Ovis aries: one gene and its partner. The protein of the gene in region 1 binds, or shares a complex with, the protein of each later gene. Links are inferred from orthologs where the notes say so. Each region holds a gene or a part of one and is shown in the gene's direction. Other genes may lie near its edges.

Evidence for each region.
Region 2: the proteins of LPL (region 1) and GPIHBP1 are in contact, whole or in part, in a crystal structure (PDB 6OAU), measured with the Homo sapiens proteins. The link is inferred for Ovis aries from reciprocal best matches to the Homo sapiens genes LPL and GPIHBP1. Residues at the interface, in NP_000228.1 of Homo sapiens: Tyr367, Gly368, Thr369, Ala371, Glu372, Glu374, Leu403, Met404, Lys406, Lys430, Lys440, Ile443, Cys445, Ser446, Arg447, Glu448, Val463, Lys464, Cys465, His466, Asp467, Ser469; in NP_835466.2 of Homo sapiens: Cys68, Lys69, Ser70, Leu92, Ala94, His95, Gly96, Asn97, Thr98, Glu99, Ser100, Leu103, Thr104, Thr105, Ser107, Trp109, Cys110, Thr111, Asp112, Ile117, Lys119, Val121, Glu122, Thr124, Val126, Met128.

Annotation. Positions count from the first base shown.
Region 1 is NC_056055.1:45,939,232-45,943,136, reverse strand, and holds the start of LPL (lipoprotein lipase precursor), read left to right. Parts: upstream 1-1,027; 5' UTR 1,028-1,189; coding exon 1,190-1,277; intron 1,278-3,905. UniProt on the Homo sapiens protein: Key enzyme in triglyceride metabolism.
Region 2 is NC_056062.1:14,303,912-14,307,538, reverse strand, and holds GPIHBP1 (glycosylphosphatidylinositol-anchored high density lipoprotein-binding protein 1), read left to right. Parts: upstream 1-1,019; 5' UTR 1,020-1,074; coding exon 1,075-1,126; intron 1,127-1,667; coding exon 1,668-1,787; intron 1,788-2,405; coding exon 2,406-2,516; intron 2,517-2,619; coding exon 2,620-2,855; 3' UTR 2,856-2,974; downstream 2,975-3,627.

The DNA of each region.
Region 1 (3,905 bases):
ACATCTTTTTAATAGCTTTATTTAAAATATAATTTATGTACCATAAAGTTCTCCCATTTAAAGTGTATAAGTCCATGTTGCTAGTGTATTTACTCAGCTGTACAACCATCACCATAATGTAATTTTTGAACATTTCCATCACCATCCCCTCCAAAATCATCTCCATTCTCCTGCCTCCCCTAGTCCCCAGCACTAGGTAATCATTAATCTACTCTCTGTCCCTAAGGTTTGCCTATTAGTGGACATTTTATGCAAAGGAAATAATAGGATGTGCATCTTCTGTGACTGGCTTCTTTCACTTAGCATAACAATACACTTCCAGGCTGTCTGGCTTCAACATTCTGCCTCTGAGGATAAAATGTTACTTTGCATTTCTTGATGAGTTTGAGGATTGAATATAACTTGCATTAAGGCAAAAATTAGAAACTAGTTAGAGCAAGAGGGCTTTTCTCAACTACATAAGCCAATCCATTTCACCAAAGTTAAAATACCAGATTGTGCAAGCTCAAGCTGCAGAAAAACGTGTGTCCATGGGTCCTTAGATTGACGTTGTCCAGGAGAATTGGCGGGGGAGGGGGCAAACAGAAAACAAAACAGACACTGCAAGTTACAAACAGAAGCCATCAAAAGAAGCTGGGTATTGCCCAAATGTAGTTTAACAACTTAACTTCCCTTTCTTAGAAAACAGATGATTACAGAGTATTTCACATAAAGCCATAAAAACCTTTGTTTGGTGTTTGTATAGGGGACCCAAGAGAGCCAGACCCCTTAGGAAAAGCAAATTGCCCTCCTAGAGAAAGTAAAATTTTTCCTTCTGCCCTTTCCCCTTCTTCTCCCTTGCAGAGTTGAACCGCATTTCAGTTTGCTCAAATATTTGAAAGTGAATTTAGTATCCTCCCCCCAACTTATGATTTTATAGCCAATAGGTGATGAGGTTTATTTGCATATTTCCAATCACATAAGCAGCCGTGGAGTGGAAACAGTGTCAGACTCATTTTCTCCTCCCCCACCTCCTCCTCCTCCGGGGAAACCTGCCGCTTCTAGCTCCCCACCCTCCCCTTTAAAGGGTGACTTGCTCCGCGCCAGACCGCTGCTCCAGCCTGCTGCCGCCTCGGGCTCAGCGGCTCTACTGCTCTGTCCGCGCTCGCGCCCGGTGCCCCGCATCTCCTACGGAGGGACATCCCCCGAGATGGAGAGCAAGGTCCTGCTTCTGCTGGCTCTGAGCGTGTGGCTGCAGAGTCTGACCGTCTCCCGCGGAGGGCTGGTCGCCGCCGACAGTAAGTTTTTTGCGCGCAGACTCCCCACTTGCAGAATAGGCTCAGTGGCCATTTGCACACGTTGTGAGGATGAGAAGGAAAGAAAGTAGGAAGGGGCTGCGATGAGCACCGGGGCCTCTCCTAGCCCGAGCGCTTGCCTCAGATAGGGTCGCGGGGGTGGGATCTGGAAGGAGCACGGAGGAGACTTTTCCTCCGATCTCTTTGGGGCGGCTCCCAACTCCCCTTTCTCTCTTTCGCGCGCAGTCCTCTCTACTCCAGCTGCGGCTGAGTTCCCTGGAGCCTGGGCTCTACAGGGAAATGAGCCGGGTAGGTCCGGTAGAGTGTGAGGGGCGGGGCCCGGAGGCGGGAGGAAGGGCTCTGCCCGCGGTGACCTGCTTTAACCTCTCCTCTTGCAGGGGCCCTGGAATGAAATGAAGGGGGCCAAGGTGACCCTGGCTTGGCCTTGGTCGCAGCTCAGCCCCAGCCAGTGAGAGCGCGAGTAAAAAGTGGCCCCTTCTGGAGAAGCCGGCCCGTAGTGGAGCGGGGGGAGGCACTGACCCCAACCCTGGACACTCTTGCTCTCCACGTGGAGGGACGTGGAGGAGAGGACGCGGGGCGCGAAGTCCTGGGCACGCGGGGTCCTGCACGCACTGGCGCGTCGGGGAAGCTGTCCATTTTCCACTCTTGTACCCTCGGCTTTACTTAGCTGCCAGCAAACCTGGTGAAGGGTTGACCACCGCTCCCCTCACCCCCACCCCCCGCCGTGAAAAACGTGGCAGAGCGACCAGCAATCTGACCGCTGACTTGGAGATTGCCAGGTTTGCGCTTGGCTACCCTTACTGTCCTCGGACTGTTCTCGGAGCTGAGCCCGACTCGGGCGCCCTGCCCCGCGGTGCGGTCCGAGCTCTTGGGGCTTCTTGGGCGCCACGGGGAGGCCACTGGCGGAACCCCAGTCACCGCTCACCAGGGATAAGGCGTCCAGGCCAGATGTGAGTTTATTGCAGGGAAGAAGAGCGCCCAGCCCGAGACCTGCCCACAATAGAGGCAGCCTGTGTAACTTGAGCCTTGGTTCAGCTAACACACAGCAGAACTAAAAAGGTAGCTGAAGCAAGTCATAAAAAGAGGCAACGTTTTCTTTTCTCTTTGGTGGAATTGCAGTTGGGGCGTGTCTCCTGGATGTGCTTTCAGGCGGCACGTCCTGCAGTGGCTCATTTTATAGTGAAGTTTGTCTCTGACTTTGCTACTAAGTTTGTCCCTGACTTTGCTATTTCAGCACAGAGTTGTGAAATAACATTTTTAATTTATTTAAGTCGGAGTAAAGTTGCTTTACCATGTTTTGTTAGTTTCTGATGTACATGAAATAGCATTTTTCATAGGTTAAAAAAAGGAAAGCTGATAAAAGTATCTTTTCTGTCAGATCAGTTTGAGAACACTGGAGGTTCAATTTGTTGTTGTTCAGTCGCTAAGTCGTGTCTGACTCTTTGCAACCCCACGGACTGCAGCACACCAGGCTTCCCTGTCCTTCACCATCTCCCGGAGTTTGCTTATACTAGTGTCCAGGGAGTTGGTGATGCCATCCAACCATCTCATCCTCTGTTGTCCCCTTCTCCTCCTGCCTTCAGTCTATCCCAGCATCAGGAGAAAGGAGACTCAGGAGACATGGGTTTGATCCCTGGGTCGGGAAAATTCCCTGGAGGAGGGCATGGCAACCCAGCCGGGTATTCTTGCCGGGAAAATCCCATGGATGGTGGAATCCAGCAGGCTAGGGCCCATGGGGTCCCACAGAGTCCTACAGAACTAGGGCGACTGACCAGACACACAGGCAAACATCTTACCAAGTAGCATGTGTGTTTTACACTATCTGAGAAAATGGTTGGAACAAAGTCCAAATTCTTGTTTCAGATAGTACATCACGGGATAATGTTACTTAGACCAGAAACACACACAAATAAGTGTCATTCACAGTTTTACAGTTTTTGTCAGACTCCCTGAGAGATTCAGGACCCTAAATTACTGGGCTAGTAAGTGTCACCTGTCTGGATTTTGCTTCTTCAGTCCTAAAATGAGGAATTTAGACCAGACTCAAAATCCTCTTAGACCCTTTAATTCCTTACTCTTCCATGCAAATAGACACAAGTGATTAAGGAATTAAATTGGATTTTAATCAATCTGTTTTTCCTAGCTATAAATGCTTTGTAAGGGAGGAATCATTTGGAAATGGACTTGAAATTAATCCCCCCCATCCTTCCTTCCCACTCTCACTCTAACCCCCATCCCCTCTTTACATAATGCCTCTTCTATCACAGCAACTCTCTGCTCTCTCCTCCAAACTAATTTAGGTAGGAATGTAAGACATTCAGAGTAGAAACGAACAAGTGTGAGGAGGGAATGGTAAGTACCACCACCTCTGGGCTCTGACTATACTTCTCTGTTTTCGATTTCTAAGAAAAATATGAGGATATGGGCACTGCCCTCAGGCTCTTTTTTTTTTTCTTGGAGCCACCACAATCTCTGCATGGCCTCATTAGGAAATTTGAAGAGCTCAGTAGCTACAAGTCTGTTTGACTGGCCATAGAGAATTTCTAGGCTAATATCTGAGTTAAACATGATGAGTGATGACAGCAAAATAGCACATAGCACCTTCAAATG
Region 2 (3,627 bases), on another chromosome or scaffold:
GCCTCTAGCAAACCCAACTCATTATACCAACGTTAATAAAGTCTACAGGTGGTTTTGTGCTCCACTGGGTGGGCTGTTCTTAGCAAATCAAGGGTAAGGGCATGTGCAGAAATGAACTTGTTAGAGAACTCGCCACAGGCAAGCAGAGCCACCGCCTGTCACTCACCCACGATCGCACGGCCTCCTCCCGCATCGCTCCCTAACCCTAACGCCTGCGAACAACTCCGCATCAACACCCTGAAGCCAGTGCGGAAGGGGCTGGTTTCACCTCACAGAAACAGACGGCTCTTCCTCTGAGAGTGTTTATCAATCCTTTATCTTCCTGTACTTAAGCAGGAAGCAGCAGTTTGCAAATACGTGCTTGCTATCACAAGGACTCAGATGTCTGGTCTGGTCTCCCATTGACCTCCTCGGTGGAAGCTCTCTGTCTGACACAGGGCACGCCACCCCGGGGCAGGACGGCCTCAGGACGCCAGCGGGGACTGTGTTCCAGGGAGAGGAGGCAGCGGGGCGGAGGCCCTGAGGTGGGGCGGAGGGCAGCGGCCGCCGGCGGGCCCACGCAGTGCTGCTGGGAGAGGGAGGCCTAGCAGAAGGACCCCAGCTGTGTCTCACTCTGAAATGCTCTTAACAAGGCCCCGGGAGATGACGCAGCTGACTCGTGGTTGACGGTGCCACTCAGCGGTCTGCAGCTGGACTGGAGGGTCCATGAAGCCAGGCTCCCGTGGCTGCGGCCTGGACCTGGTCTCAGGGTCGAGACAAGGGGTAGGGGCTGGCCAGCCTGCACTGCAGGGCTGAGGCCGCAGGGCCAGGGCAGAACCGCTCAGGTGGACAGGACGCCCCACCGGCCGCCACAGTGACTTCCCCTCCCCCACCACTGGAGCCAGGGAGGGAAATGACCATCCCTGGCCCAGTGCCTGGCCTGGGGGCCAGCGTGAGGCCCATTGTTTGAGGCTGGAGCTGGCGGCCCGGGGCCTTGGGAAGCCCCCGGCAAGGCCCTTTGTCCCACTTCCCACAGATTCAGAGCCCCAGCGAGGCCCTGGTGAGCAGACGCGGCAGAGGTGGCAGCCCCGCAGGATGAAGGCGCTAGCGGCTGTCCTGCTGGCCCTGCTGTGGTGCAGGCAGCAAGGTGCGTGGGGCAAGGGGCGGCCCTGCAGCGAGAGGGATGCCCAGTCCAGGCTGCAGGCCCTCAGGGTCACCCAGCCCGGAGGCAAGACGTGGCTTGGGGAGGAGGACGGGGAGCACCTGCAGGCCGAGGCCAGAGGGAGGCGGGTGGGCCGTGCTGGGTCCCCACGGGCCCCCAAACCTCCAGCCCCTGCCCCAACCAGACGCCAGGGCGCGGGTGACCCTCCCCACCCAATCCCACCCAGTCTCAGCCTCTCAGGCTTCGGGGTACCTGCCATCTGGGGGCTGGAGTCGGGGGCTGTGAAAGGCCAGCGCCCAACCCCTAGTGTTGTTGGCAAGGATGCCGCCAGGTCGCACACCAGCCAGGAGGTGGGGCCGGGGCTCAGAGACCCAGGCAGCGACCTCACCAGCTTGGGAGGGTCAGGGAGGTCAGAGGGACTGGGAAGGGGATGCCAGACCGAGGGGAGGGGGCGCGGCACTGGGCTCCGAGCCTGTGTCCTCTGCGCCTGGGTAGTGGAGGTTTACAGGTGTCCCTGCGTGGCCAGGGAGAGGGCAGGCACAGGAGGACGAGGACGATGACCCGGACCCTGGGCGCGAAGGCTACGATGATGAGGAGGATGAGGAGGAAGAGGAGGCCGGCGCGCCTGCGGGCAGCAGGGGCTCAGGTACCTGCCCACCCCACCCCAGCATGGGGGCGCTCGACCCTCCTCCTCAGCACTCACATGGGTGCCTCGAAGCTGACAGTGAGGAGCCCACAGGCAGAGGCCTCCGCTGCGAGCGTCCATGCCCTCAGGGTGGGGGAAGGGGGAGGCAGGGCCCCTGGCACTCAGCACACCCTCAGTTCTCACCCTGGCAGTAGCCCCCAACTGCCATCCAGAGGAGGGGCTAGAGAAGGAGCCAGTCCTGGGAGGGGCAATGGTGCTGGGGCAGAGAGGTTAAATAGAAGTTCACCAAGCAGACAGGGGCACAGCAGAGCCCCAGGAAGGAGAGACCAGTGACCCAAAGGCCCTGGGTGTGGAGTCCAGTTCAGAAATACACAACTGTCCCAGTAAGGCAGGGCAGCGGGGGGCGAGGCGGGAGAGTAAGGGGGCCAGTCCTGAGGTGGGGGCACAGAGGGCTCCAGCACGGCAGGGTTTGAGGGGGTCAGCTGAGAGTGGGAGAGGCGGACCGGAATTGGGAAGAGACCTCCAAGGGGAAGAGGCTGGGAAGCAGCAGGCGTGGGTGAGCTGGGGGCGCTCCGGGGGCTGTGCCCCTTGCACAGCTGAGCCCACCTGGCCCCCCAGGGCCACAGTGCTACACGTGCCAGTCCCTGCACAAGGGGGAGAGCTGCGAGCAGGTGCAGAGCTGCGTGCTCCCCAGGACGTGCAAAGCCATCGTCTCCTCCTGGAACGCTGGTGAGGGGCCACCCGGGGGTGGCGGGACGGCGTCACCCAAGCCTGTGAGGGGCCCCATCCCTGCCGTGTCCCGTCCCGTGTGATCCACTCTCTCCCCTCACAGAGTCAGGTCCCCAGACCACCTACTCGGGGTGGTGTGCAGACACATGTCAAGCCATCAGCAGGACGGTGGAAGGATCCCTGACGACCATATCCTGTTGCCAGTCCAACCTGTGCAACACCCCACCCTGGCAAGATCCCCAGGGGAGGGGGGCAGGTGGCCCCCGGGGGAGCCCTGCGACTGTGGCCGCCACCGTCCTGCTCAGCCTCCTGGCCGGCCTTCAGGCCGTGGGGCTCTGAGTTGGGCGGTCCCTCCTCGCGCCCAGCATGGCTTGCACCCTGGCTGGCCAGCACTCTGTCCGCTGTCTCCTGTCCCCTCCCCCAGACCATGGAGAATAAACTGGATGCACCCGTGATGACCCCGCGGCACTGGTTCCTTGGCCACAGCGGCCCTTCCTCGGTTTCCCCTTCCAGCATCCTGGCCTCCTCTCCCTGCCTGTGCATGGCAGATGGCCAGCACGTGGGCCTTAGGTCCAGGCCTCAGCGGCTCACAGGTTGGGTCCACACAGCTCCCTGCCCCCAGCAGAGAAAACACTCACTGCATGCCAGTGGGGAGCCCACCCCAGGTTGCTCCCCAACTTCTTGCCAAAAAGAAACCTCCATCCATCCACGTGAGGGGTGGCCCTTGTAGAGAGGACACTTGGGGAGGAAGGTTTCCTTGGCCTAGAGGAGGAAAGGCCCCCACCCAGGGCGGCTTGGGGGTGAGTGGAATTAATGAGGGGCTGGAAGACAAAGAGAAAAGAGAGGGAGACAGGTGGTGTATGGCTCAGATGGGACTTTGCAGCCAACCACTCAGCTTGGGTGGGGGGGATGGGGCGGAAGAGGGGGCAGTCAGGGAGAAGCGGAGGGGCAGGGCAGGAGCCCCACGGCTTCCCCAGCCTTTGCTCCAGCTGGACGGGTGTCGCTGGCTGCTGGGCGCTAGGCCTCCGTGACTGGTGCTGGGATGGAGCCCAGCCCCAGAGGGGGAAAGAGAGGGCTGGGCTTCAGTTTCCCCATCAAAGCGGTATGGAAC